Drosophila melanogaster: one gene and its partners. The protein of the gene in region 2 interacts with the protein of the main gene of each other region in a pairwise test. Each region holds a gene or a part of one and is shown on either strand. Other genes may lie near its edges.

Region 1 (10,293 bases), on a different chromosome or scaffold from region 2:
TCTTATTCGTCATTGTCGTCATCACCACCTTTAACCTTCTTGTCTTCGGAGGAAGGTGGAGGCGCGTCCTCCGTCCGCGTGTCGTACGAGTGATAATGCAATGTTCCTATCCAGTCGAGCATGTTACGCTGCTCGGCTTCCGTCTTATAGATCTGGCTAAAGATCTCCCTCTCGATAAACTCCTGGACTTGCGCCTCCTGCGCCTGCCATGTCAGCGGATTGTGGATGCCGTCCTTGCCGTAGCGATCGTTGTAGCGCTCGTAGTGCACTGTGTCCAGCACGAGGCCCAGTCCAGGGGCCATCGGCAGGTCCAGACGCTCCTCCGTCAGTGCCCGCTCTAAAGTGGCCGCCGTCGTGTTCCCCCTTACAATGGCAATGGCTAGACCCACCATCTTGCGAATCTGGTGCAGCATAAAGCTCTGACCCTTAACCTTAAGTGTGACAAATTCGATGTCCTGGGGACTCCGGAATGGCTCGCTGCTCGTAAAGGACATGATGAAGCGCTTGGACGAAGGATCCAGAAAGCTTCTACAAGGGTAGTAAACAAAATATTAGTTGGAGCAGAAATGAAGTATAAACCTGGCTTATTTACTTCTTGCTGGTGAAGTTGTGGAAGTTCTTCGTGCCCTCGTAGAGCTTCAGGGTTTCTTTAACCTTCTGCAGCAGCTCTGGTGAAATCCGGAAGGTGTCGTGCACGTCGTCGACCTTTTCCTCAAACGGAGCAAAGGCCACGGTGGGCAGTGTGTAGGTGTAGGTCCGAGCATTGCATTGATCCTTGGCATTGAAGCCCTTAGTCACGCGTTCTACGCCAAACAGACGGATCTGTTGCGGCAGATCGGCATTGAAGGCCTCCAGGTCCAGCTCCTCAGCTGCAGGAAGGAATAGGTTTAGTATTGTCTTGTAAAATAGAATAAGTAAACTAACGCAGCTTGACGGAGCACACCTGGCGGGCGGCGGAGACGCCCTTGTCGGTCCTGGCCGCTCTTTGGAAACAGGAAATCTGAATCTGCTCAAAGCTGTCCTCTGTAATCCACTTGTGCTTTAGCATGGCTTTGAAGAGCTCCTCCTCGATGGTCTGCATGCCGGGATTGCGCTGCATACCATAGTAGTTCGCACCGCAGTAGCTAAGCAGGATGGCGCTCTTCTTGCGCTTGATCCGGTCGGCGGGATCGAACGGCGCTCGCTTCACGCCGTTGGCGGCATCCTTCTCGTCCTGCTCCTTCCAATCGACCCATTTCTTGCGTTTAAGTGTTCTCTTGATGCGGTTGGCGTCCTTCACGGCTTCGCCCTCCAGTTCTTTGGCCTCTTTCCTGGCTTCCTTCTCCACCTCCAGTTTATCTAGAGCCTCTGACATCGCTGCGGCGAAGGATTTGTGGCGATTCCAGGGATTGCAAAGGGTTTTCAGGCGAACTATTGTAAGAAAATTAATTATTATAAATTCTCGAATTGGAGGTGTGATCACTAATAATTAACCTGCCTTGGTGTAGTCGTTTAAAAGTCGTCTTAAAAACATTAAGTAAACAATTCTGGATTTAAAGTGGAGGAATTCACACACGTGTGGTTGTGCTTCTTCTTCTTGCTCTGTTACGGATCAGCTGTTTTATTTAACAGCTCTGTTTGGCTAATACAAATATGTTTTTTTCGAAAATCGCGTTCTTTGAATTAGCTCAATAATTAAGTTGAGTTTCCGAAATGCTACTTTTGATTTACTTAAGTTTTAAATTAGCTGTGTGGAGAAAAATGTTCAAAGCTTTACGTAACGTTATGACTTAACAGAACGAAGACGTTACAAGTTTATTTTAAAAATTATGTTATATTTTACTATAACCTTTTAATACCAGGCTAAGTTATTAGTTTTAAATTGTAAATAAATGGCATCTTGACCATGTATTACAACATTAATATGATTTTTTACGAAATGAACGGCGAATTCAATTGTGGTATTGCCAGATCGCGTGTTTAGTGTGACCTCAGCTGCTTACGTTTCCACGGCCGTGCGTAACAGCCCTCGAAATGCCGTCGTACTGGCAACGCCGACATGAATTAATTGAATCCAAAATGGCTGAACATTTTTTGTACAGAAGAAGCGTCCAACGAGAGCAAACGCCGTGAGACCGTGTGTTTTCGCAGCGAATTACGCCAATAAAACCGCACTAAGAGCGCGCTCGCAGCGCGAATAAAGAATAGCAGCCGCGTATGGACGAAATGCGGCACGAATCGCTGGAAAAATCGACGGCCAGACCGAAAAATAGCAGCGAAATTCGAGCGAACGTCGTGTATAAGTAAAACGAAAGTTGTGTCGCTCTGTGCGAAAGAGAGAGGGAGAACCCAATATTTTTGCAAGCCAGAAGTCGAAGGTGAAATTAAAATGCATTAGCCACCCAATTGAAGAGGAGTCAACTACGAACAAAACTTTAAGAATCAGCGAAAAATCGTTTGTGAACATCCATACAAGCACAAATCGTTGTTTTTGCCTGCTCTCGTGTAGTTCCTGTGTATTGGTGCGCGCGCCCTGTGTGTGTTTGTGCGTGTGCGTGCGTGTAAGCATTGGAATGGATTAACTACCCAACTAATTCCAAAACAATAATACCGCAACATAATCGCAATAGTCATGCCGTTTCAAGGCGACAGCCTTTAGGGAAACATTCGGTCGGTCGGTCAGTCAACCAAAAATCAGTTGCTATAATTAGCACGCCCACGTTTTAATTTCAACGATCGCCAGCAACCGCCTACGCGGTTAAATCGCAGGACTTCGCCAACATGGATATGGATTTGGAGCAGCTAAAGAACGACTTCCTGCCGCTTATCGCCGGGATCAAGCAGGAGCAGCTGGATGCCGTGCCCACGGATGCCCTGCCCCAGATGAGCACACCAAACACGGCCAGCGGTGCGCCCACAACCTCGTCATTGAGCTCCTCTTCGCTGAGTCTGAGCAACCCCTGCGACAGTGCCGAGAAAAGGGTATGTTGCTAGTCCGTATCACGCGTTCGTTACCTATAAGCTAACGCCAAGTTGAGGTTAGCTAAAGCCGCCTAATCACACGTGCTCTTGCGGCTGATAACAAACAGCCGGCTCAATACACATATTCCCCTGCTCTGCGCAGTCTGCTCAGTGTAAACTTTTGTTTTGGTTGGATTTTGATGCGCTCGTGCTGCGTCCTCCTTATCAAGCGTTTCGAATCGAGTCTCGTGCAAAAAGCGTTTGTTATCTTTTTCCCAGGCCAAGGCAAACAAAGCAGCGTATTCACACAACCAAACAAACAGCGCGCAATGGCAAGTGTTGTTGTGTTTCACTTTCACGGCCCAGTCCGAGATCTTACAGTGAGAAAAACGGCGTGCACTTTGCTCTATTTTACAGTATATGTGTATATATAGTTTTCTATTATTTTAAAATTAATATGACTATGCAGTTTTAATCTTGGATATACCAGTTAAGATGTAAGAAATGTGATGTTATCGAACGTTGAATCAACTTTAAAATTAGTTCTAATATACAAATTTTTAAGTTGTTATATGAAAAAATGAAAAATAATATACCAACTTAATGCAAGAATTTAATTAAATTAAAAAAGGTACAAATTAAACATTAATTATTAGCTTACTGATTGAGAATTTTTTTTTTTACTGTGTAGTGAGTTAGGGTCTCGTGCCGATGGTTCTCGATTCCCCTATGAGTGCGAGCAAAACAAGCTGTTTCTAGACAGTCGCTACCTCGCTTTCACTTACGTGGAAGGGCTAAGTCAAGATGGTCTCCCTCTCTTGCAATTGCAGATCAGCTGCAACATGCAGCTGCCACTCTCCAGATGAGCGGCAATAGAGTGTGTGTGGTTGTGTGTGTGCTCTCTACTGTGTTTTGTTTGCTCTCCGTCGTGCTTGAGCTGCTCTTTAAGCTACAGTGGAACCCAAGTAGATCATCCTAGTGGAAAGCTTGAACATAATTGTCCTGAAAAATAAAAAAATACTATAATATTTTAACTACTTCAATCTAAAGAATTATTGAATTGCTTTTACACCTTTTTGTTTATTTTCATTGTATTAGTTACTTACTGTACAGCCAGATAACTTGCCTTAACTGAACTTCCAATATAATTTTGGGACATACAGAATATAACTACCTTATTTTCAACGTAAATTGGGCAATTTGAAAGTTTCATTTAACACTAACATTATGAATTAAAATCAACGGCTTGTGATTACAATAAAACAAAATTAATGTTTTTCACAAATGATAACCGCTTTAGATGACACTAATTGGTCACGATATTTTATTATGTGTGCTAAATAAAACAAACACGTTTTCATGTATGTAATTAAAAATTCGAGCTCTAACTTTCTATGCGGCATGTGATACTTCTAGTTACGGAAGCCTGACTGTATGAAAGACTCAAACTTCTCCTGCAACCGTGCAAATAAATGTTCGCCTAGAGTGGGCCTTTTGGAGTGGCCACTCTCTCTTGAACCCCAACCAGGGATTGGGAATGACATGCACTCATTCAATCCGTCCCTCAATCATGCAAACGGTTGTGTTTGCTGTGGTCGTTGGGGGCACTTAAGACCCCCAGACTCCATGCCCAGTCCCCCCCCCCCCCCCGCCTGAATCCCCTCCAGATCACTTAATGCCCATTTCTGATGCGGGCAAACTATCAAGTGGAAAGTACTTCGCCGAGGCAAGGTGTGGAGTTCAGAATGGATGATGATGGGGATTTCAAAGGAATAGCTTTTAGATTATTAATCCTGTTAAAGATTTTCATACATGCATGTACATAACTACAAAACAATCTGACTTAAGAAACTGCCAAGCACGGAATAGTTAAATAATTAATATGAAAAGAATTATCAAAGAATTATTTATGATCCAGTAAGAATTATGCGATCCTTTAGATTTCCTTTAGATTTGAATGCTAATTCTTCTCTTGACGGCATTTTTTTCCTTTTCATCGAGTAAATTATTCTAATTTATGCATGACTTCACAAAACTAACTGTACCTACTCATGAATACATGGAATACATGATGTCGTTAAGTAACTTTTATGGGCGAAAAACATAATAAGAATTTCTCAATAAAGAGAGAAGACTTAAAATTCACGGATAATTTTTTCCTATATATAGTAAACAATGATACCTCTGCTCATATTAAACTCAAATGATTATTAATTTGTTTTTAATTAAAATTAGCTTGAAAGGTTTTATACATTCATAAACACAAGGTCTGCTTTTGTGGAGACTTTCTTTTTTACCTTTATACTTCCGATTCGGTAAAACACTCAAAATCACTGAAGCTTAACTGAAAAGAGAAACCTATTCATTTGTAGCTCCTGTCAAAATGGCGGGTTTCGGCATTAAAAGTGACAGCTGATGGGGAGGTTGCCGCTGGCGGGCATCCATATGTCATCTCAAAAACACTGCACCTAAATGCATTTTCCTACCCTCCATGAGGCCATATTTAATACTCCCATAAATACGTATGTACGAACGCTTGTCGTACATACATATTCATGAAGTCATGTCTTTGTGTGTTACCCCATGCATGCGACAGGTTGTAATTAAATTGCTTGACATCGGAATAAATGAAAACCCAAAATCGTACGACGCCATTTTGTGTTAGATACCGACGAGACCCGAAACGAATTCTTAGAATCCGCCTTTAATGATGTACAATTAACTTTAATTTGATGAGAATATGCAAGCAAAGCAAAACGAGGAGAAGGCAAAGTGCCGATGGCCAGACGCCGGTGCTAGGAAACCCCAGCCCCCAAAAATAAAAGTCGTTAAATGCACAAAAAAGTAAAGTTTCTAATTAACTTGATTACCCTGAAATAAGGGCGGGTAGATCTTGGAAAATGACTCTCTTTTCACTTTACTCGAACTACCTGGCATTAATGCAGACATCGGGATTTTAAAATGCTGGGATTTTATGGCATCTATAGTCAACCATCCCCTTTGTGATCCGATTGAACGAATTTAGGATTAGAAATAATACTCTATACTCTAAACTAGGTAATTGTGTCAAAGCCAATATGTGCATTAAAGATTTTCTGATTTAGTACGCTCAATGTCAAAATAGATATTCAACATATTTTTGAAGTGAACAAGAGAGGTCGCTCTAGTCTATTCTCGTTACTAGTGTTTTATTTTCGAGTTCGGAAAAAAAATTTTAAAAAAGATTATATGTATATTTGTTTTACTGTCTACTGTTCTTTGTACCTGTTATAAACTTTTAATCTTATATTAATAGCTTTTTGTTATTTTTAGGAGAAAAACCATCTTGGTTGATGTACATTTTATAAACTCTCTCAGTTCCGAACTTATTGTTAATAACGTTTAATTGGAACAAACCATGAAAACATGTTTTTTTCTAAAATGTTAACAGCTTTATAACTTGAAAGGTGGTTCCATTTAGGGACGTTCTCCTGTTTATCCAGGATATACACATTTTAATTGCTTTTCCGGGCAGTCGGTGGGCGTAAGGCCGCCCTAATCCATCCATCGACGTCCAGTGCGTAATTAAAGTTGACTGCGACTGCGGGATCAGTGCGGATGGATGGAATCGGATTGGAACTGAAAAAGGGAATGGGAGTGGTGTAGTTGTAGGTGTAGATGTGGAAGTGGTGCTCGTTGGCAACATGTGTACGCTGGTCGCACTCCTGTGCGGGGATTAGGTGCTACACAGGACATAATCCGATCACAAAAAGCGGATTATAACGCACAGCAACAAAAATGGTGCAGTCGGGCGGCCGTGGCAAAGGGAAACCGAACTGACGCCACTTTAAAAGTAGAGCGTTTCTGTCAGTGGAGGGGAAATGCAGAGGGCAAAGTTTTATAAGCTGCATAAGTCCTGAGAAGCGAGTCTGTCTGATTTCCTACCATCCTACGGCAACAGACAGCAGATGTAAGCAGATTTCTGAGCTGCGTCAGCTTGTTCAGCTGCCGCCTTGGCATGCCCCCAGATACGCCTACGCCCAAGTCCCGGTACCATCCATATCGGTTATAATATTGCTATTCCTGCAACTGGCGTCACGATTTTCGGGCCCCCTGCTGACTGGGAAGTCTTACCGGTTTGTGTATCTACATCAGCGGGGAGTCGCCATTTTGGAAAACACTCGTACTCTCGTAGTTCGTGCACACTCCATCCAATCCATATATATGTACATATTATGGTGTATACGTGTCTGCTGATGCCATGCCCTCCGGGAGCAGGAACAATTGCAACGGGCACAAAAAGAACCGCAAACCGCATCAGCAGCAGCAACAGAAACAGCGGCTGTGACGGCTTTGGTAAGCTCCAGAGACCGAGGGCCACCGGCTCGTCGGACCAACGTAACCACAACGCCCTGCCCAGGCCACCGCCAATGCAACCCGACGCAAACCTCGACCGTCGTCTGCAGCAGCAGCAGCATCGCTGGGGTCCAAAATCCGGGGACCAGCCGACAGCTCAGTCCGTTCATTAGTTTGCGGTTTCCTGGTTTCGTTTCGGTTGGCTCCACGTCTTTTGGTCTCTTGGTCCCCCACCAAAAGATTTTCAATACTGAATTTATGCTCGCAACATGATTGGGAGTAGTAATTATTATACCTTCCGTTCTGTAACTAGTCAAGTTTTCCCAACCCAAACATTGAGTTTGAGCACGAAATAGTAAAACTTGCCTAAGAGAATATCAAAACTGGTTTTCGTTCGGGACCAGAAAATAAAATGGCGATTTCTAAGTAGTAATACGGCGAAACTAATTAAGATAAGACTATCATAGTGGTTTGGGTTAGCCAATGCCAACCGTAGTCGGAACCAAATAGCAACTAATAATGTTATCATCCGGCTTTCTCCCGCTTCGCTCGTCTCTCCTTAAATTTTGTTTATGTTTAATCTGCTTCTTGCTTTTAAAGTAAACATTTCATTCAGCAAACAGCTGTGTAAATATGCTACAAATTGCCAATTTTCCATACAGCTCATTAGATGATAAACAGATTATGATTAACTGATAGCCTTGAATTAGTATTGTAGAGCATTGAACCGCTCCGCTATTAAGTTTCCTTTGATCAGGGAGGTTCGGTAACTATCTTCACCAAGGATCTAATCGATCAACCCATTTAACAAACGACCCTTGCCTGCCATTACAATCTCAATGAATCACTTTATTACTGCTCGTTGGATGTGTCATTCTCGGTTAGAAGTTCCACTTATCACTTATTCCATTACGAATACCCGAAGTCCCAACGAAAGGGTCTGTCAGATGATGACAGTTCGGTGAAATAGCAATTTTATTTACGTCAACCAAGTGAACTTCCTTCGGTTAGGACCTGTAGTTTGCCAGTTGCGACAGCTTTTAATGGGTTCCATCGATTTTCTCATAAAATAAACCAAAACTTTTCTGTTCGTGCCATTTACGATTTCCATACAATTAAATCTTTACGACTGAAGCGATGTGGCTTGAGACATTCGAGCAAAGAAACCAAACCGAAGGATACAGAAGTATAATATTTAATGAGTTCCGTCATAAACAGCCCCTTTTATGGGAAGACGTTAAAATACAGATAGCTTTTCAAATTTTCCAAAAAAATATTTTCGAAATATATATTCTGAAAATACTTGAGGTATTTCACTTGAAAATTTTGGATATATGGTGTATGAATATATAAGTATATAAAAGGAAATCCCGAGTGCCATCAGCCTTTTTCTCATTTGCCTTGTGTGTGGGTATGTGCGTAAATGCGTAATCATGGTTTTTATGAAACCATTTCTGTAGAAATTTATATTTATGTACAGTACACATACTTTTTTGGTGGCTTAAATTGCGTTATGAAATGTAATGTCGGGTCATTAGGGTTTGTCCATTAGGTGGGTTTCGGGTGGTTCAACACCCAGTTCGTGTTCCTCCAACTCCTGGGCGGAAATTGCAGCAACGTTGGCCGGATATGCCCGCGATTAAAGCGAATGGCCAATGGTCCAAAATGGCGAAGCTTCTCTCGCTTCCTCAGCCCTTTTCCATTGGTAGGAGATACGAATCGGATTTGAAGTGCTCCTAACGATTTGAAATTCGTATTTGGATTGGAATGCTTTTAATGCGTGTGCGACGCTTCTCGCTGCGTCTGAATACTTACAATTTTATTTATTTATTTATGTTGAACTCGCGGATTGGGTTTGTTTATATGGACATCTGGCGGTGGCCTCGCCATTAATATTTATCAGCTGCTGCACCTTTCCCGGCTTTGCAGCTCTGTTGCCTTCCTCCATGGCGTCGCATAAATCGCAGCAACTTTGGCCCGACACGCCCCTCGAACGCCCCGATTTTCTCTGAACTCGCTTGGCTCACAAGTTCCAGGTACAATCAAGTTTTTCGCTTTTATTATGGGGAGTATAATATATTTTATACGGCTCTATCTGCCGCCGTCTTCTCGCTCCCTTTCCACCTTTTCTACCAATTTATGGCGGCCATTTTGGAGAGGTGGTGTCTTTGAAATTTTAGTTTATTGCAAAGTCTCATAAATATTTCAAGAGCAAGTTTTTTCGTCTTCATCTCGTTCCCGCTCGATTTATAAACCTGGCCAATTTATATTAGTCTGCGAGGAAGCAGGGCATTTTATGAGGGGTTGAAAGAGAAATGTATCATGAGGTTCATGGACTTTGATGTGCCAGTCTGTCACCTGAGTCCCACTGCTCAGTGATGAAAAAGTTCTTTTGAGTGCTTTATGTATGTTCCATAAACACGATTGTTCATTGACTTGGCGGTGAGGCATTTATAGACCCAGTCAATTACGGCGAATTCATTTTATTCGATTACCAGTTGACCCTGGATCCATTATTATCGGTATCATATTTGGATTCCCTAGTGCATTGTTCAAGCGCTTAGGAATCTGGAATCTGGAATTTATGCACCCGCCCCTACATATCTGGGAAGCATTTCCAATTTCATTACTTTGATCAGACTTAATGAACCGGCGACCATGGAGCATATCGAATGGATCCGCCTTGCCCAAAACGAGTAACTGCGGCGAATGAACCTTGAATGGAAAGCGTAGCAAACTACAGGCAATTATTTTCCATTTGCGTAAATTATACATTTAAATTAGGTGTTGGCATATTTCCTTTAAAGGTACTTGTTGTTTTAGCACTCTTAGTCACGTATTACGGACAGTCTGAATGATGCATTGAAGATTAGCCATTGTCGAAAATGGGCGCCCAACAGAAATCCAGAACGTAATTAATTTTCTGCTTTTGTTGTATCAAAGGATTTTCCCTTCCGTCCGAGAGTTCAAAGTACACATATGCCCGTGCCATCTGATGCCTGCCGTTTTGTGTTGTAA
Region 2 (10,171 bases):
CATCAAACTGGAGCTCAGTGAAGATGATCTGCCAGTGGCTCGCATTTTAAAGAGACAACCTTTGGCAGCACCATCTCTTGCTGGCGGAGATGCCGAATCGGCAACTACTCAATTAACCACAACTACCAACGGAATCTCTTCGTCCTTGGGCAATGGCAGTGGCCAGAAGAAGCTCAGCAAAGTGGAGAGGGAGAAGAAACGACAGCAGCAGGAACAGCGAATTGCCGCCCGCTTGGCGCCCAAACAGGGCCAAAGCAGTTCATCGGAGAGCGATACCACAGAGCTTCACAAGCGGAATACGGCGCGGCAAAAGAAACCACTACTGCGAAAGGGACGAACGAGGCAAAGGTCTCCGGAGGCAGCTAGCATTCAGCAGAGCAGCGATGAGGAGCAGGAGAAGGTGAGCCAGCGACTTAGTCGCAAACCTCGAACCTCCAGCGAGGAAAGCAAGACAAAAGCCACCTCCGCCAAAAAGGATGTTAAGAAGGAGGCGAAGACTCCAAGCAACAAGACCAACAATAGCGCCTCTCTAACCAAGATCAAAAAGAAGACCACTGATTCTTCCAGCTTAAACAAAGCCAAGGGTGATGAGAACCCCAAGCAGGAGAGCCAGGAGAGCACCTCCTCGGAGAGTGACCAGGACGACAATGACAATGACAATGACGAAGAGGAGGAGGATCAGGAGGAGGACGAGGAAGAGCCCGAAGAGGAGGACGACGATGAGGAGCAGGACAAGAAGAAGGAGAAGCGAGTGGGCAGGCGTCCGGGAAACACGCTCAAAAAACGCATTGCCCACAAGCTGAACACCATGACTCGCTCAAAGCATCGCAAGGAGCTCGAACTTCAGTTGGCCAATAGTAAGGTTCTCCGCAATGACAAGATCATCAGGAACTCCACCACCAAAATTAAGAGAAAGTATGTCCGTAAGGTGGTGGACAGCAAGAAGGAGATGATGGTCACGCGTTTGAGGAACAAACGTGGCATGAACTCTGATTTAGGAGCGCTGAATGGTAGAAACTCCAAGCTGAAGGGCAGCAAGGTGGGAAATAGTCCCGGTAAACCCAAGACATCCCCTCAGCAGCAACTGTACCTGGAGGAATATCGCTATAAGTTGGCTTTAAAAATCCCACACAGCCTGATCTCGATTAATAAGCTTAACAAAGTGGCTTCCTCGCTACCGGACTTGGAGCGCCGTGATCTCAGCCAGGAGCTGGCCTGTTTCAAGAGAAACAGACCGAAGACCAAAGCTGCCAGCAAGCAGGATTTCACGCCGAAGTCCATAATCGATGTTCTCCACTTGAGGGTAACCAATGGCAGTACGGCTGGCACTCAAAGGAAGATCTCAGTCTCTGCTCCAGCTTCCACCAATCTTCAGATCCACAGTGAAACCTCGCAAACTTCCGCTTCTACTTCACTGTACGAGCAATCCCAGCAGGATAACCCAACTGAAAACCAATCCCTAGACGATATGAGCAAGCGGCACTTTAGCATTTTCGACACCAAAGTGCTGCAGAGCAAAACCCGTACAGAAACCAAGTTGCAAAAGCACAGGGAGATCATCCGTGAAATTTTCGTCGGCCCGGAACGTCCGGCGTCGGCTCCGCCAGAATGCGTCCAGGAGGCAGATGGAGGAGATGCCATTAGTTACCAGAAGTACGAGGAGTTCCTGCAGCAAATGAACAGCATTGCCAGCGCGAATGATAGCAAATTGGCCAGGAGATCTCTCATGGAGGACAAGTCGGTCACGGCTCCGCAGTGTCCGCACAAGAGGAAGTATCGTTGTAGGAAAGGCAGCTCGGGATTTGACTATATACGAAAGAAGAAGAGACCAGCTCCGACTCAGACGCAGAACCACACGCAAAATCAGAGTCAGAGCCAAGTCTCCAGTCAGATAACACAACACATTTTGGAACACAATCAGAGTGCGGCGGATGAGCGCTTGGAGGATACGGATAGCACCATCGCTGGCAGTTCCCATTTGCCTCCAAAGGTGAAAACGGAAATGGATGTCTGTCGTGAGATCCAAAAGTGGGTGCTCAACAAAGGAGTTGGTCAGAGTACCATGCACAAGGCTGCTCGCCAGGGCCTAATCGATGTGGTGGTCTACTGCTTGGATCGTATGAATATGAATCCTGACCAAAAGGATAACGCCGGCTACACTCCACTCCACGAGGCGTGCACCCAGGGATGGCTGGAGATTGCCAGGATTCTACTTCAATACGGCGCGAATCATTCGGAGGCGGCTCAATCTGGAATTAGGCCATTGCACGGAGCCATCGAAAACGATCACGAGGAGGTGGTGCGACTGTTGCTCTCCTATGGAGCCGATCCGTTGCTGGCAACGTACTCAGGTTGGTGTTGGATGTTTAACTTTGCATTTCGAAGGGATTGTAACAATTGTACCCTTTTGTTTTTAGGTCAAACCCCGCTAATGTTAGCTTCAAGCAAGTTGATGCGAGGCATTCTGCGCGCTCATCTCAGCGATGCACAAAGTGCCGCCGCTGACATCAAGCCAATGCGATTCAATGGGCCTTGGGAGATATTTGGTGAGTGGAAGCAAATAGTTCTTTGCCATTGCATACAATTAAGGATAAAACTAAAATATGAATGAATTTGAACTAAACCATGCATTAATCTCTTCCAGATGCTAAGGAGTATGGTTATGATATATTCAGTAATGTACCGAATACAGCTTGTGATATGAGCAGAGCTCTACGTAAAGAAAGGAAGGAGGCCAAGCAGCAGAGGATGAGCAGCAACAGTGACAGGACCAGCAACTTGAATGGTCTGTTAGCGGAAAAAAAGGAGGAGCAGAAGCCCGAGGATTTGGACCAGGATCGGGTGACAACAACGATCAAGCAGAACGGGGAGACGAGTGCAACAAAGACTGGATCGGCGACTACGACGACGGCAACAACGATGGTTAAATTGGAACTGGGAACCGACGAGGATAGCAATAACAATAAGAACAACGAGGAGCTGAATGCTAATGTGGAAAATAATTTAGTAACAAGCGTTGTGAATGTCAAGAATGAAGTGAAGAAGGAAGTGGAAGCTGAAGCTGAAACAGAAGCGGAAACGGAAACGAATGCGAAAGCAAATACGAATAGTAGCACTAGGCTAGACGAGGATCAGACGGACATCGAGACAATGGATAGTGAATTGAATGGTGATATTTTTGAATTTGAAGAGGCCGATGTGCCCTTGCCACCACTGTACTTGCTCAAAGACGAGGGCAGTGATAAATGGGTACTACTCAATGATTTGTGCAATTTACTTAAAGTTAAATCGAAGGATACGTTGCTTAACAAGGTATGTGCCATTTAGATGCGATATTTAAATGAACTTATAACAAAATCTTGTTATTTTTTTTTTAGCTCTGTCCGAACAACAGCAATGCCTTGGCCAGCAGTCAGAAGCACCTGCTACGGGAGTTCAAGATAGATGATTTCCTGGAGAAAGCCACCTGCCTGCAGCTGTTGTGCGCCGGTGAAAAGCTGAACATGTTCAGTTCGTCGAAGGTTGTGCTCATCAAATACAACGACAGTGTACGGAACTTGTTGGGCGTTAAGACCATTTTAATGAAATTTTAACCGAGATATCTTTAGCGATTGGACGGGGCAAGATCCAGAAAGATATAAATTAGATAATGATGAATGGATGAGCATAGTACTAACTGAACATAGAGTGTAAAGTGCAAACAAATATGGAAAAACTATTAGTACGAATATAATAGTAGATTTATATACTATACATATGTATATTTTAGCTAGTAACTAGTTTTTACTCACACGTCTTTGTCTTTGGAAGATAAAGGATTTTATAAAGGAAATTAAATTTAGAGCTAATGCAAAGTGATACAAAGGTGCTATACACACTCAAAACGAAGAAAAAGGAAATGAATGGAAATTTTAGAGCGAGAATATTGAGAAAATCTGGAATCTTTAGGGATTGGCTGCAATTATGCAATAAAAGTAGAAGAAAACAATGCAAGGCAGTTAGAAACGAGGAAACGAACGGAAAATGTATGCCAGCCAATCAGCTAATAAATTGATATATACTTACAGATAAATCTAGGGATGAAGTGTAATCTATGGTTTTTAAAAAAACAAAACAATCTAGCTAAAGTATAAACTAAATAATAATTATTGTAATAATATTAAAGAAGCAACAAAGGCGTATTTATGTATTATGTATTTTTAAATGAAATTATTAACATAATATATAAAGTATATGTATACACAATATGATCCAACTACAATGTAAATCAATTTTCAGATAGGTTTGTAATTTTCTATGTAATGTACGTGTGTAAGTTTTGTGCAACTATAAAAGGAAACCACAAAAAACTGAAGAAATTTAACAAAAAAAAAAAAACTAATAATGAAAAACAAAATAAATGCAAAGTGAAATTTTGACAATTTAAAAGTGCGGTTTCACTTCAAAATTTTAACAATCTCCTGGCATTTGAAAACAAATATCGATCCAAGCTTTTATTAAACGATTCTTCAAAATTGGTTTAAAAGGTTATTTATATATAATAATAGATGACTGAACAGGTAAGGTCTTAGATAAGTACTTAAATATACTTAGAGGGCCCATTCTTTTGAAAAAGTATAATTATATCTTGTGAATATTTAAATTCGTCTTCTTCTTTTCCTTTTAAATTTGCAATTATTTGAACTAGATAATCTCATTGTATTTTTTATTGCTTATTAAAATTTATGTAATATTTCATTGACAAACCGCCACAGTTTTGAATTTACGATCTATCGATAACTTGGCGATAGGTTCCGGCAGATGTCGCTCTCAAAAGCTCGCCGCACGAGCGGTGCGCTAAACGCGGGTGTGCGTGCATGTGAGTGCTTTCAGCTGAAAGCTTTCCGGTTTTCATATGATTGCCGTCCTTGTTCTTCAAACGATTTTTAAAGGCCAAGAATGCTGCCTCTCTGTCCTTGGCCCCGCTCTTCGCTCCGGTGATCCAACACTATCCCGACCGCGCATGTGTGTGTGCGTGTATGCGCGAGGGCTTTCGGTCTTCTTCTACCTACGCCAACAAACTTTTACTGTGTGTTGTGTTCCCGTTCGAGTTCGACCTAATTTCGCTCGAGACCTAATTTTTGCGTGCGGAATAGTTTTTCCCGAAAAAGTGAAGCCAGCGAATAAACAATAGCTGAAAGTGAGCGATAGCCAAGAAAGTAAGAGTGAAAGTAAACAAAAGCGAAAAGAAGAACAGCTCTGGCGTTAATTATGTGTGTGTACATACGTATATATTTAATATTTCCGATGCGTCCATAACGGGAGTGTGTTCTGGTTTCCAATCGTCGCCCGCGCCCCCGTCATTGCCTATCCGTTTACCAAACCCCAATTTTGGTGTGCAATTGTGTATAAAAATTAACACAAAGTGGGAAGATAGCGTTGTGTCATAGAATTGGAGCAGAAGCAAAAACAAGGCAAAATTAGCAAAAGCCAAGCGGAAAAACAACAACACAGAGTGCCCAGTGGAACCCCAGTACATGTGTGTATATATGTATGTGCGGTGCGAGCGTGTCAGTGTGTGCGTAGCAGGAATTGCAATTTATAGTTGTTGTTTCTGAGAGCTTTCGCTTGTTGCGCGCGTGCGACGATTGTGCAAGAAGTTCTTGGTGTGCGTTCGAAATCGGGAAGAGGAAATCGCCGAGAATAGAGGAAGAGTAAATGGCAATAAATGCAAAATAAATAAAAGAAATAAATAAAAAAAAATATAAATAAATTGCCAAATGCGTTTGGCGTCGCGTGTGTGTGCGTGTTCTGAAATATGCTGAAAGAGCTTTCGGAGAGCGAGAGCAAAAGAGAACGAGACGCCGAGAGATGCGATCGGGAGAAATAGCAACAACAACAACAACGGCAACAGCGACTACGATCGGCGAAATGAATCACACACAAGCTTTGTTTTGCGAATTATAAATTCGCGTTCCGTTCTCCACACATGCGAATTCCCACACTGAGAGCGAGACAGAGACAGCGAGAGAGAGGGAGACCAGCTACGGCTACAAAAACAGAAACAGCAAGAAGACCAAGACATAATAATAGAACTTTTGCTTTCGCTTCCAACTGGTTTTTGTATACATAAAAAGCGAGAGGGGAAGAGACGGAGAAAGAGAGAGACGGACAGCTTCCAGCGCTTCTTCTTCTTCCGCGATCTTCGTCTTGGAATTCATGGAACCGGGCGCATGCGCAACACACAGAACTACAAAAGGAAAAACAACGACGTCAGCTGCATGAAAGGTAAATTCTCAATTCTCCCCGCTGCACGACTTCCTCTCGCTCACCTTTTACCCCCCAAAAACCTCCTTTTCCATTTTGTCTAGTTGGGTGAGCTTTATTTTACTGCACTTACCATCTTTAATGGGAAGTAGGAGCACGGAATGAAATACAGTTTTGACACGAATTTGATTTAAAAACCATCATTATAAGAAAACTTTTTAAATAAAATCACCTTTTTGTTTGTTTAAATAAATTTTACTGGGATCATTATATATATATTTTTTACAAAAATTAATGTGGTTTTAAAAATTTGGATAATAAACTGAAAATTGTATCAGCAGTTTATAGCTTTTTATAGTTTTTTTTTATACATTTTCTCGTATTTTCCACTAAGATATTTTTCTTTTAAAATATTAAATATAAAGTTAATGTCATTTGCTCAATTTTTTTCCGTGGATTACCCGAGGGTTGGTGAGATTCAAGCACGAAAAGTGAAGAACTTGAAGTCGAGTGAAGTTAATTAAAGTATCGTTAAAAAGGGTAACACAGGGCTTAAAAAAATGGGGGAATCTTTCCAGTTGTCTGTTTCGCGAACTGGAAAATTACTGTAAATGGGGGAATAAACAATTTAGCGTGTTAATTTTTAAATGGATTTTATCTACTCGGAAAAAATAATTTGGTTAAAGATGCTTTTAATGCATTAACTTTTTTTTTTTTTATTAATTTTTGTAATCTTGTAAAACAATTGCATTTTTAAAAAAACTTTATTTTTCAATTTTTAAATTAAAGATTCTCGACGTCTATTTTGAAATTTAATTTTTAAACATCGGTTTATTGGTGAAATTGCATTGATACTGATAAAAATAGTTTAGGCACTCCTAAGCTCTACGGAGGTATATATTGTGGACTTTCGACGATTTAGTTAAAAACCCTAAACAATAATTAAATAGTAGAATTATAAAAAAACTGAAATATAACATAATAAATTGGGTGGACATTGAAGTGGTACAGAAAAAGCTTTGAAAGCTTTCTCTCCCCACAAAGAGTTGACCTTGGCCTGCTTCAAATACCATTAGGCCTTTCCTTGGCCCACATTCTCTGCGACCTGACCTTCAACCTGACCTTGCATTAACCTAGGCCTTTGAAATCCTTGTCCTACTTCCTGAAAATTAATATTTATTACTAGAACGGATTGATTTTTGGTTTAGACGGCTTTAAAAACGCTTAGAATTTTTTTTTGATTACTAATAATCTGCTTTATTACCATTTTCAGGTCTTTAAAGCAATTATAAACTTACAACTACTATCGTTACCTGCCATTAAGAATCAACAAAACAAATACCACACATCACAACGAAACGTACAAAAAATAAAAGTTAAATTATATTATTCATAAAATGGATACCTTCAATGTACCTATGCTGGCGGAGAGCAGCAACACCAACTATGCAACAGAAGCTACCAGCAATCATCACCACCTGCAACATCAGCATCAGCAGCAACATTCACATCAGCAGCAGCAGCAGCAGCAACTCCTAATGCCCCATCATCACAAGGATCAAATGCTGGCGGCGGGCAGTTCGCCCATGCTGCCATTCTATTCACACTTGCAGTTGCAACAGAAGGATGCAACTGCAACAATAGGACCTGCAGCAGCAGCAGCAGCAGTTGAGGCGGCAACAACATCGGCAAATGCCGATAACTTCAGTTCATTGCAAACGATCGATGCCAGTCAACTGGATGGAGGCATCTCCTTGAGCGGCTTGTGCGATCGTTTCTTTGTGGCCAGTCCAAATCCCCACAGCAATAGCAACATGACACTAATGGGCACTGCCACAGCTGCAACAACTACCACTACCAACAACAACAATAATAACAACACTAACAATAACAATAACAACAACGTGGAGGCTAAGACAGTGAGGCCATCGAACGGCAATTCGGTGATCATCGAATCTGTGACGATGCCATCGTTTGCCAATATTCTATTTCCCACCCATCGCAGCGCCAACGAGTGCATTGATCCCGCCCTGTTGCAAAAGAATCCCCAAAATCCAAATGGCAACAACAGTAGCATAATTGTGCCGCCCGTCGAATATCATCAATTGAAACCACTTGAAGTCAATTCGTCGACTTCCGTTTCCACCAGCAACTTCCTGTCCTCCACAACGGCCCAATTGTTGGACTTTGAGGTGCAGGTGGGCAAGGATGATGGCCACATTAGCACCACTACGACCACAGGGCCGGGCTCTGGATCGGCATCGGGTTCAGGATCGGGATCGGGATCGGGATCAGGATCGATTGCACGCACAATAGGCACTGCAACGCCCACAACGACAACATCCATGAGCAACACTGCCAATCCGACGAGGAGCTCATTGCACAGTATTGAGGAGCTGGCCGCCAGTTCCTGTGCCCCGAGAGCAGCGTCTCCCAACAGCAACCACACTAGCAGTGCCAGCACCACTCCGCAGCAGCAGCAGCAGCAGCAGCATCACATGCAAAGCGGCAACCACAGTGGCTCCAATCTCAGCAGCGACGATGAGTCCATGTCCGAGGATGAGTTCGGTCTGGAAATCGACGATAACGGAGGTAAGTTCATCTTTTGTATCAAATGATTTATTTACCTCCCCAAAACCATCCTAATTCGAAAGGCAAATTGTTTGGCAAACATTCTGTTGTTGCTGCAAGTGAAGTGATAACGAAGCGGCAAGTGCGAAATAATACAAATACATAACGACTAATAAGAAAAATACAAACTAATGACACAATTAAACAAAAACCGCGTGTATTATCAAACAAATGCTCAAATAATCAATAAATCAAAAGCAAGCAATAATGAAAGTTATGAAAAAAAAAATTGATAAATTCATTAATAAATCAATATTTAATATGCAATATACAAAATAATGAAACTTTATAAATAATATGTAATAATAATGATAAAACGAAACAACAGCATTACAAAGATTATGTACTATGAATAATAAATTTTACATTTCATTACCAAATATTTTTTTTTGGTTGCTCAGCAATTTTAGAGCACTTGCTACTACCAATCCGGCCAATTAAAATGCGATTATATTCACACGCATTTCAACTGACATTTATTACATTTTACACATTCAATTTAAATTGAATCAGACCTTGATGTTTTCACTAACCTGTCATTACTGGCGGTTGGTTTTCCACTGGCTCGGCCAGACGGAGACGGTCGTCTTAAATCTTAGTGTGCCAAGTGCAATGCAAAGTTTAAATATGCACGGGCGGTACAACCCACCTCTCCCCCCCCCCCCCTCCTTGAATTCCCTCCACCAGTCCACAGTTGGCCTCGCACTTAGCTCCATGTTTGTTGTGCGGCATGGCGTCGGATGCAGCCATAAAAATCCATTTGAAATGTCTATAAAAATGCAACTAACCTACTTTCGGGCGATGTTTTTGGAAAAGCCGAAATCGAAATGCTCTTCATTAAAACTGCTTTGCTTAATTGCAATGTCTAATTAAAAGCGAATTGAAGTTTGAATATGAATAATTATTTGTTTATAACCATTGTAGTTGATAACATATGGTTGGTTACCTTCTAATGCAGCTGAAAAAGTTTCAGCAGTTAGATTTGAGCTATTTACTTTTAGTGTGAATGAATATAGTTCTATATATTAAATATACCAGATATCCCTTGTTCTTCCAAAGAGTATCTGTAAAATGCAAATGTAGAAAAATTCGTTCGATGCGTGAATAGCAATTAAATGGGCAAACTGTGACAGACCCCTGCCAAATGCCGTCGATGATGAATGATCAAATATTACAGACACACATACAATACATAATATGTATGTAAGATTGTTTGATTTTGTGTTTGTTTTACACGACACTTGGTGGCATGATATGGCTTTTCAATTTTCAAATTAACTTTATTGACATTCGG
Region 3 (10,144 bases), on a different chromosome or scaffold from region 2:
GGCGGACAAGCGCAAGCAAGACGATGTTACCAAAACCAAGAATGTACACCGGGGTAAGACACTAGAATTCGATAGCAGCGATGGGTTTTATGTGGACAAGGTGGGCAACAGCTCCTATAGAAACATCAAAACCCTGAAAAAACCCGCAAGACCACGCTACAAAACCCGGATGAAACGACTGGGTGATGGAAAATACAATCCCCATGACTTCTCAAGGGCTCACTCCAAATTTTCCCTAAAACGTAGTCGCTACGTCAGAGAGAAACTGATCGCTGATGCACCCAGCGAAGATGAGGTGTCCAGGCTGCAGGAGCAGCTCATACGCACCAAAGTGCTCGTCCAGCAGGAACCCGAGGTACTGGACCACTGGCTGCAGCTGCACCGTCTGCTCAATCTCAACTTGGACAAGGCCAATCGGCTGGCGGTGGCGGAACAACAGATACACAGCCTGGAAACGGCCATGGAGCACCATCCGTCCAATCAACAGATTCTGCGGCTCTACACGCACGTGGCCAATGCCACCTATCAGGCCAACGAGGTAAGCGATGGGTTAATTTCCGCAGGAAATTCCAAATAATTTCAGTATTTATTTAATTAATTTCGATCATATTCACTGCACTGCAATGGTGACAAAACACCAAACATGATATTTGGGAAAAAACAATAGCCATATGTATGTATGGATCATAGTAACCCGGTAATATTTTGTAAATGGGATCAAATAGATTTGAAACATACTGTCAGGGCCAGAGAGTCATTACAATTCACACTTTAAAGGCGACTAGCTGATATATTTTTTTTAAATTTGTGAGAATTATACGAACTAAAATTTTTCTACCGGTTCTCACACAAAACACTTTAATTTTTGCTTATCGCGTGAAATTTTTTCAAGTACTTTTATAAAACGAATTGTATGTAGAAAAGAACATTTAACATTTAATCGACATATTTTATCAATATACACGATATTCTTTTATTCAGGTTGCTAGGCGATTCGAGAAAATGCTGAAGAGAAACCCATTCCAGTACACACTGTGGAGCAACCTAATAATGATCACCCAAGGCGACATGGCTTGTTGCAACGTGTCCGCTGTGCTCCGGATTTACGAGTACAGCATGCGCCGCATGCATGTGGGACACAACGATGAAATAACCCGAAGATTCATCATTAAGGAGACTGATGTGATAATGCTAAAACTTTTTCACAATTGCTTACTATTCCTACGCCAATCGGGCCATACTAACTGGATGTTTGCTCTGATTCGTTTGTCTATGGAGTTGAATTTCCCCTACCTGACGTTCGAATGCCTACAAGCACATGCAGGAAGAGAAAAAGCATTGATTGGATTCGAGGAAGTGGTGCTGCGTTCGGGAATGCCGATGCCCGAGATCTGGACGCGTGTGGAGCAGCTCAGACAGGCATACTGCTTCCTGCCGTTGAAAGACAAGCTGGCTTCGTCGACTAATGTCTTCAAAAACAAGATGAACGCCGAACGATACTTTTGCAGCGACAAACTTGTCCCATATGTACACGCACTCAAGTCGCAGAATAATCGTCTGCACCTGGTGCTCGTGGTTGTTCAACTAATGAAATTGCCCCTGATTCGCAGCGCTAGTTTGGCGGACAAATTGAATCCTTGCATCGAGGACTTCGGCGAGTCTGAGGCCATTGAAATGCTTTTCGCTGCCATAGTAGATAGGCACTCCTATGCAGTGGCTTCGTTGCAATATCAATTTGATGCAGCCATGATCGACTTAGCCAGAGAGATGTCCGTGACGCCCAGCTACATGCCGCATCTTGTTGGCCATAAACTGTATGCGGATACCGTGAGTAATATGCTACTCAAATGCGTCGAAGTCTTTATCGGCGAGGAGTCCAAGCGACGATTGTTGCTTATTCTGTATTTGCGATTCCAAAAACTATTAATAGTGCTGCACAAGTCCATGGGCAAGCTAACGAAAAAATTCTTTAAGGATAAACGAACACGGATGCGCAAACTGATCAATTTGACGGAGAACCGAAATGTTATTAGTTTCTACACGGAACAGGCCTTGTGCGAAATTGAGGCTAAGCATTACCGACTGGGCTTTTCCATAATTTCGAGGATCATCACAAAAAAATCGGAAGAATCCAGCTGCATTAGTTGCGTGGACACAATGCATCTCTATTTAGTTTGTGCAGAATTGCATATACATAGGGGCCGCATATCTAAGGCCATCGGCATACTCGTTTCACTGTGTTTGGAAAAACATGCCGGAGTAAAGCAGACAACTGTCTACTCCAAGGAACAGGTTTTGAAAGGCCTGAGAAATGCAGAGAAAATGGTGCGAGCGGAACTGAAATCCCTCGATACCCAGCCAGCTGAGATGTCTTTGGAGGAGTACTTCCAGCCCAACAAATTGCTCATCCTCTTGCGCGCTATCTGTTTGATCGAAGTGCTGAATAATCGTCGTCATAAGGAGGCTAGAATGTGGCTCAATGACCTGCAGAATAACGAATTTGGTCCCGAGGCCGTCAAGGACAGCGAAAGAAAGCGTTTCCTTAGGGAGCAGATCATGGAAATACAGATGCTACATCTGCGTTTGTCCTTTTTAGTATTTGGCGAAGTTGAATTCTATACTGGATTCAAAAAGATCAAGCTACATGAACTGCTCGAGAATGGACTCGAAGAGTTTCCACGAAATATGGTGTTTCTACAGCTGTGGGCCAGCTTAAAATCGATTATGTGGCACAAGCAGCGTAGCCGGCTCATACGCACCAAAGCCGGCATCGCTTCACTGGCGCACTTGGTCGTTGCGATTCACAATCGCTTTGGAATCGTAGATACCAACGATAAGTTTTCAAAGGAAGCCACAAGGAAGATGGTGTGCAATCGTTTGGTCAGCATTGTCGAGACTTTTCTCCCGACCAATTTAGATCGTTTGGATGTGGAGGAAGAGCATTATCGCATACTGCGCAGGAACTCCATCTATTGGCGCTTGTACATGATTGCCCTATCCAAAACGAATGCCTCGTTTAGGCGCAGCAAAGAAGTCCTTATAATGGCCATGGACGAGTGTCCCTGGGACAAGTCACTACTGATGGAAGGCGCCAAGGTTTTGCCAGTGAAACTAGCATCGCTACAGGACCTGATGACCGAAAAAGAGATTCGCATTTTCGCTATGCCCGAGGAAGTGGACGTCTTGAGGGGCTTTTAAGTCGCTTTGGTTTTATTCGTTTGTTTTGAGGTTATTTGCCATTCGGGCGACTCGATAAGTTCGCATCATAAATATATTTATTTCTTCAAACAATCTAGTTCTGAAGTTTGCTTCAACTTTAAGTTAACTGGCGAAATTGCGATAAGCTGTTTGCAGTTATATGCGTACATGCATATTTTACTACATATATCCTAAATCGCTTATCAGAATTGGCTCACTAACAAATTCAGAATTAGCGATTTTGCTACTCAAAAATACTCGCCGTTCGATTATGTTAAAAAAAAATTCCAACACTTTATCGCTCGTTGCTGTGCAAGGAAACCAGAGTCGCATATCGAATGTCGGAGATTAGTCCAACTTCATCTTCTGGCCAATCCGCTCCCCCCGAATCCAGCATTTTCTTGTGTTTATTATTTTGATTGTGTTTATCGCAAGATAACCGAACAAAACTCATAAGCCAAAACAGCGCCGAAAGAATCACTGCGCACCTGAGGTCGCAATTGTAGCACCTGGAAGCTGTGAGACGAACTAAATACAACATATTTGTTATGTCATTTTCATATCGCTGAAATGAAACATATATTGCAAATAGCTTATTTTTATATTACTGAAATTTAAAATATATTGCAAATAGTTTATGGTTCTGTTTATTTAAATTTATTAAATCATTTAAATATGCAAAAGAAATTAAGAAGTTTTCTACATTTGTAAATTACAAATAAAAATATTTATATTCCTATTTAGCTATGAGTAGTTTTAACAGCTAACTTGTTAAATATTGATAAATTTAGATTTAATATGTACACATTAAAGGATTTGTATTAAATGACATGAATGATATTGACGATAAAATGATTGATATTTTGTATGCGATCTGTTTGTGTGACCGCAAGTGTGGTGGCCAAGTTGCGTGAGCGCGAGCGAGACGGCTGTGGCTGAGTGTTGACTCGTCTCGAATGTTGCGTATGCGCCCTGTCTGCCCAGCCACTTAAGACTCCTGTGCGTTACTGTTGCTCTTTGGAAAAGCGTGGAAATCGGGAGAGGAAACGCTGTGATTGGGCAGAGGGGTAGTGGGGATGAAAAGCTCCGCTCGCCGAAACGCATCGAAAGCTGTCTGAGCGCGAGAGTCCTGGCTGCTGTCCATTCGCACGTCCGTCTGTTCGCCTGCTCGTCCACCCATCCGACATCTTTGGACCGGGCTTCATCGATGGCAGTCGGTCGGCATCTGTCCAAGTCCCACGACGCGTTGTCGCTCCGCATCGGCCGTTGCTGCAGTGGAAGCGGCCCGTTTGGCCAAGTGGCGTCTCCGTAGTCCCTAGTCTCATGGCGGCGGAGTCTCCTCTCAAGGTTTCCCAGGCACTCCAGACCGTTTCCAGTTCCTAGGTTAGTGCTAGAGCTCGGAATATCTGGCCAGTATCAGGCCAATCCATATATAATAATATATACATACATATATATATATATATGTATATATCGCTATAACGGCCGAGTGTTTTTTGTTCCATTTCGTTTCGATAGCGAGTGTAATTTTTTTGAGAGTGCTCCCCCGTTCTAAGTCGTGTGTGTGTGTGTGTTTCTCTTCCTGTTTGGGTGTGTGTGCTGCGATGTCTCTGTGTTGGTGTAGAGCAGAAGCAAGAAGAAGCAGCATTGTGTAAGACGCCAGCGTCAAGTTCGTAGACTAAACACCAACCTTCTTTTGCGGCTCTACTCTAGCAAAGGGGAAAAGCTTTTCAGAGAGGAAACTCAGAAAATGAGAAAACGATAGAGACAGAGAGCGCAGAGAGTCAATGTGCACTGCTAGAAAATGTGGGGAAAACCAGTTTGCGAGCATGCGATTCGTGACAGTTTGCATATTTTTTAAGCATCTTTATCTCAGATTTCCAAATCTATAACTCAAATATTACTAAATTTATTACAGATAAGTGTAATCAAAATAATTGATAGCTTATTATTATTATTATATAATGCTTCCTTGGAGATTGTTATAAACAGAGGAGATTCAAGTGATTTTTTGTGCAAAACTCTAGTTTTAGCAACGTTTTCTTTTTTCCCGGTGTACTGGGTGAGCATGAACTCGCCGAGGGTTTCCCGGCCGGAAACCTTAGTCAAGGTCTCGCCAGCTTTCCAACGCAGGTTGTTGCTGCGCTCTCGCTCACACTCGCTGCTGGTGGGCGTTTGGCCAATCGCCATCTCTGTCGCACCGCTGTCGGTGACGAGCGAAGCTTTTATTGTATATTTCATCTTTCACGCTCTTTTCCCTGCCATTTCTGCTTCTTTGGGGCAGCGGCACCTAGAGCGGGAGCGGGAGCGGAGTGGAGCGTGAGTGGAGCGTTAGCTTTCCGGGCAGCTGATTCGCGCTCGGCTCGGCTCTCCGCTGCCGTTGCCGCTGCCGCCGTCGCTGCTCCGCTCGTCGTCTGGCTGATTAGTTTAGTTTGTGATTTCAATATATGTAATTAATTTTTGTTTCTGTAGCGGTACGGACGGACGCGTCGCGACGTTCGCTTGGTCCGCTTGGTGTTCGTTCGGTTCGCTTGGAGCTTGGAGTTCGAATTCGGTTCGCCAGCCGTCGCTGTTTCGTATTTATTATTATTTTTTATTTTTTTTTTATGAGTATATTCGTATTTCGCATTTGTATCTGAATGTTTCTTTGGCTCTGCGTACGTGTGTGAGCGATTGTGCGAGTTTCCTTCTCTTTCAACTTGCCTTTTTCGTGGTCGCCGCCGCTGCTAAAATGCAAAGAACACGCTCGAGCAACGTAAATGGCGCCGCGTTAACGAATGGAATTGGATTATCAAACAGTGCCCCCCAGAGCCCCATATAAAAGTTGAAAAAAAAAATAAAATAAAAAACAAAACGAGGAATTAAAACCGAAATAAAACAGGCAACAAACAAACTTCGTTTTGACAACCCCCCCGCCTTTTTTTTTGTTTGCGTGTGTGTGTTTTGTGCCAGTGCTTGTGCTATAGTGTAAAAAAAAAAGTTTGAAACAACAAACCAAAAACGCGCTCGAGGGGAAATATTATCAAAAAGGTAGATGGCGGTGACCTTAAATCATATAGTAATTATAGGGCTATCTTCCAGTTGGACAGTTTCAACAACCAAACGTTGGTGTATGAAAAACTCCAATTATCCTATTATACGACTAGTATGTATATTCATAAGCCCAATGGGGCTTAAATACCGCTGTTGGTGTGTTGTTGAACAAGCTTGAACAAGTATTTTTTTGTGCTCTACGTTGGTGCATTGGAGTGTAGATATAGTTTCAACAACCGACCAACCACCAAGCGCAAAATTAATATTGTTGAAACGTTCGAGCTTAGCAGCTGTTGGTGAACCGTTGTTGGTGTATTGTTGAGTGCGCGGCATTAGATGCTGTTGATCAGAGTACTTTTGGTACTCTTGTGATCCTGTTTCATTTCCGTTTTTGTTCACTGATTTCGATGTTTTCTTGTGCAGAGAATTGGTTTTATATGGTGTAGCCTACGAGTACGAGCATATGTGCTGAAATCAGCGGCGCGTGCGCGCATTTTTGCGCGATCGAAACCCGAGAACGATTCAGTTTTTTGTTGAGTTGGGAAAAGTTTCGATTTACGAAAAACATTCCCACTGTCTGTGTTTGTCATCCTTCGAAAATCTGCTTAGCCAACATTAACGTGTTTGCCCATCCACAAACACATACAAATGCATACAAAAAAAAAACTATCACATTCGCATCGACACAATCAATGAGGCAAGACAAATAAAATTAACATATTAATGAATTTCCAGTTTCTTTTTTCGACTTATTTAATTTTTTAATAAGAAAAGAAAAAACAGAAAAACAAAACAAGCGTGAAGAACTCGAGTCTCTCGACTTCGGCATACCCAAAAAGCACGAAAGCGGGAAGTGTGATTATGGCCAAAATTCCAGATCTGCGCTTTAATGGGTGTGCGAAGATCAACGGATTCCAATGAATATAGATGTTATATGGCGGAGCACTTTATGATGGGTTCTTAGCCTCCCTTGAACTTGTGGGCAGCATGGAAAGAGTGCGATGGAACTGAGCTTTGGATGATAATAGCAATAAAAGTAAATATAAATAGCCCAGCATCAGGTATTTGTTGGCAACAATTTTTCAATGATTTACCAGTTCCGAGTTCCGATCAATAAAAGTGTTTTTTTTCTGTTTTTTTTTTTTTTGCTATTCGGTTTGGTTTTTTCTTTCCAATTTTTGTTTTTTGTTCGGCTGCTTTGCTGCTGCTCTCAAGGTTTTCTGTGTGCTGTTGCCGATGGTGATGATGGTTATGATGATGATGATGATGATGTTGATGATTTTTGTGTGGATGTTTTTCATTTTTATTATTTTCTCTGTTACTTTTTGGCTTTTGTTTTGTTTTATGTTTGATAATTAATTTCTACGTCGCATGCTGATGTTGGCAATTCAAGTGAATTGAAAGAGGGGGGAAACTGTTAAAAATATATAAGTGTACAAATCTCAAGGCAGTTTATAAATATTTTAAAAAATCCATAGGTACATTGGGTAGCTTTTAAATTATAGCCAAAGCATAAGTTCTCTAAAAAAAAAACCATATAATTTGGATGTCTGTTTCATTTTTAAGGACAATAAAATATGCAGTCAATTTCCCTAGCATTTTTCTTTCTTTTATATTTTTTTACGAGTTCGTATATGTAAACATATTTATTTATTTTTTTTCTAACTTGTTGTTCTTGTCGCCCTCATCAAATTTTTTGCTGACGTCGCGTCTAAGAGCGATCGCTTTGGCTGAGCGGCGAGCGTTCAGCGTTCAGCGTTGAGCGGGCCAAGCGGTATAGAGAGTCAAAAGCTCGTCGCTTAAATGTGAGCAGGGGGGCCTGGTGGGGAGAGGGGCCAGGCGGTATTTTTTGTGGAGGGGCCAAGACGCTCTAAAGCTGCGGGAAAAGGAAAGCCGAACCTGTACTGAAAGCGGACCTAAGCAGCGGCAATTGATAACCTAACCTAGACAATAAAAACGACCGCCAACCGATGGCGACCCCAAGAAATGACGTCCACTACTTGAATAACTTGGCATTTTAAGTTAAATATTTAATTTTCAATTAAATGTGTCAGATTCTCTGGGCAGTCAAGCATAATTTAAGACAGGGAAAGTTAGCCGAGAGAAATGGAATGCCAAAATGAGCGAGCTAATGGTACTACTTTTTTTTCGCCACAATTTGTATTCTAAAGTACAATCGGAAAAACTACATAGAATGGGAAAATATTTCAAAAATGCTCGCGTATATTTCGAATTTCTTTTGAATAAAACACAATGTAAGCTATCATAAATTAAGGGCAATCAAATCGAGCCGCAAAGAATGTGGACTGCCAAAACACAAGTTTATCGATAAATCGAATCTTAATTGGAGGCGAATTTAGCATGCCTGATTGGATCGCATATAGCCGAGATAGCTTGACGCCATCTTAGGCAGCTATGCTAATTAAATCGATTTGACTTAGATTAGCCACGCTTGCCGCGGTTCACATGGCGTATGTGCAATAAACGCGGCTCACCATAACGCATACGCCGTGTGGCCAGGAAAATGGTATCCCTTTTGGAACGCATAACTCTCTATCCAGCTATTTCATGCATCGTACAGCGGCCTATTTCCGCTCCCCAATAGTTTACCTTCCTCAAAGTGTCTGTAGGTCAAACTAGTTTTATTTCTGCACCAGATTAGCCTTACAAATATAATCAACTTGAAAGCTCTATATTCAATTGAGACAGCTAGCTACTGTAATTTTATTTTCCCCCCCGTTTCAACTCTTTTTATTGGCTTCGTGATTTTGTAACTGTATTAACTGATATGGTTTTCGATCATCTCTGTGCGCCAATAGCTAGTTTAGTTTCTCCTATATTACCAATGTTATGGAATGTTATGCAAAGTGCACTCGCAAATCTTTGTAGAACGTGCTTGAACGGCCACGTTCTTCCCGCCCTCTCTGGCTCTTTCTTCCCGCCCAGCTTGTTCTCCGCAATAGCTCTTTCTTCTCCGCTCGCTCTCGTTCTTTAGCTGCTCACCTGCTCCCTTTCTCCCCCTCCCCCCACCCATCGAGTGCTCAGCTATTTTTGGTTTTTGCGACAACTTTTTGCCAGCCACCACCTGATGTCGACGTCAGCTTTGGGCCAGGTCGAAACAGCAGCGTCTCGCGGCTGTATAAAGCCGCTTTTGTAATTAGCCCTGCGAGGACTTTTTCTACATATTTTCAATTGAAATTTGGCATTAAATTGCTTGAAGGACGTTGAATCTAGATGCTAGCTAAAAAACTGTGTATCAATTCAATCAATATATATTTCTTAATACCAATTGATGAGTAAAAACGCTTTAAATAGTAAGTTACCACGTCCTGGCATTAACTTTCCACAAAAATATTTATGTCTGTGGTTCCTAGGCGAATTGGCAATGGCGTTCTATATTTTGTGCAACCGCATAGCTTAGAAGAGGTGTCAAGTTTAAGGAAATATATAAAACGACACCATTTGAAGAATATTTAAAAAGTTGATAAAAACGATAAGGCAGTGGTGGAAATGTCTCAAATTCAATGCAGCTCATTCATTAGCATACTTGGAATTTTGCGAACATCAAAGGGGCTGCCATGGCATATCGCCTATATGTCAACCACCCCAACCACAATCCCAACCCAACAGCACTCCAAAGAAAACCCGTTCGGCACTGGCAAAATGATCCACTCTAATGATCTATTAGCAGGCATTTTTGCCTTTTTTTTTTTTTTGCTCTATTTATAAATGATTTCCATACAATGGCGCGCAGCGAGGCGTATACGTAATATTGCGTATACGCCCCGCGGTTCAAACCCAATCTAACGCGCTTCATTCGATGTAACTTTAACTATTGCAAATGTAAACAAACCGAAAGTGTGGATGGGCGGAGACAGGGGCCGGGGGTTTGTGGTTCTGGAAGGGGGGAAGG

The links.
Region 1: the proteins of ftz-f1 (region 2) and bon interact in a two-hybrid assay, tested with the Drosophila melanogaster proteins (one study listed by BioGRID).
Region 3: the proteins of ftz-f1 (region 2) and gce interact in a two-hybrid assay, tested with the Drosophila melanogaster proteins (one study listed by BioGRID).

The regions. Positions count from the first base shown.
Region 1 is NT_033777.3:20,591,084-20,601,376, forward strand, and holds the start of bon (bonus), read left to right. Parts: upstream 1-2,055; 5' UTR 2,056-2,760; coding exon 2,761-2,961; intron 2,962-10,293. Other genes in the region: Pus1 (pseudouridine synthase 1), read right to left, coding at 3-528, 593-869, 925-1,410, 1,474-1,513.
Region 2 is NT_037436.4:18,796,204-18,806,374, reverse strand, and holds the start of ftz-f1 (ftz transcription factor 1), read left to right. Parts: upstream 1-5,065; 5' UTR 5,066-6,267; intron 6,268-7,519; 5' UTR 7,520-7,643; coding exon 7,644-8,838; intron 8,839-10,171. Other genes in the region: CG14073 (uncharacterized protein), read left to right, coding at 1-2,351, 2,418-2,546, 2,645-3,312, 3,378-3,593. UniProt on the Drosophila melanogaster protein: Acts as a cofactor to fushi tarazu (ftz). Facilitates the binding of ftz to DNA. Binds the sequence element 5'-YCYYGGYCR-3' in the zebra element of ftz. Probably functions as a nuclear receptor for a yet unknown ligand.
Region 3 is NC_004354.4:15,293,356-15,303,499, forward strand, and holds the start of gce (germ cell-expressed bHLH-PAS), read left to right. Parts: upstream 1-4,410; 5' UTR 4,411-4,581; intron 4,582-4,681; exon of another isoform or gene 4,682-4,862; intron 4,863-5,653; exon of another isoform or gene 5,654-6,228; intron 6,229-7,153; exon of another isoform or gene 7,154-7,267; intron 7,268-10,144. Other genes in the region: CG5877 (uncharacterized protein), read left to right, coding at 1-538, 982-3,198.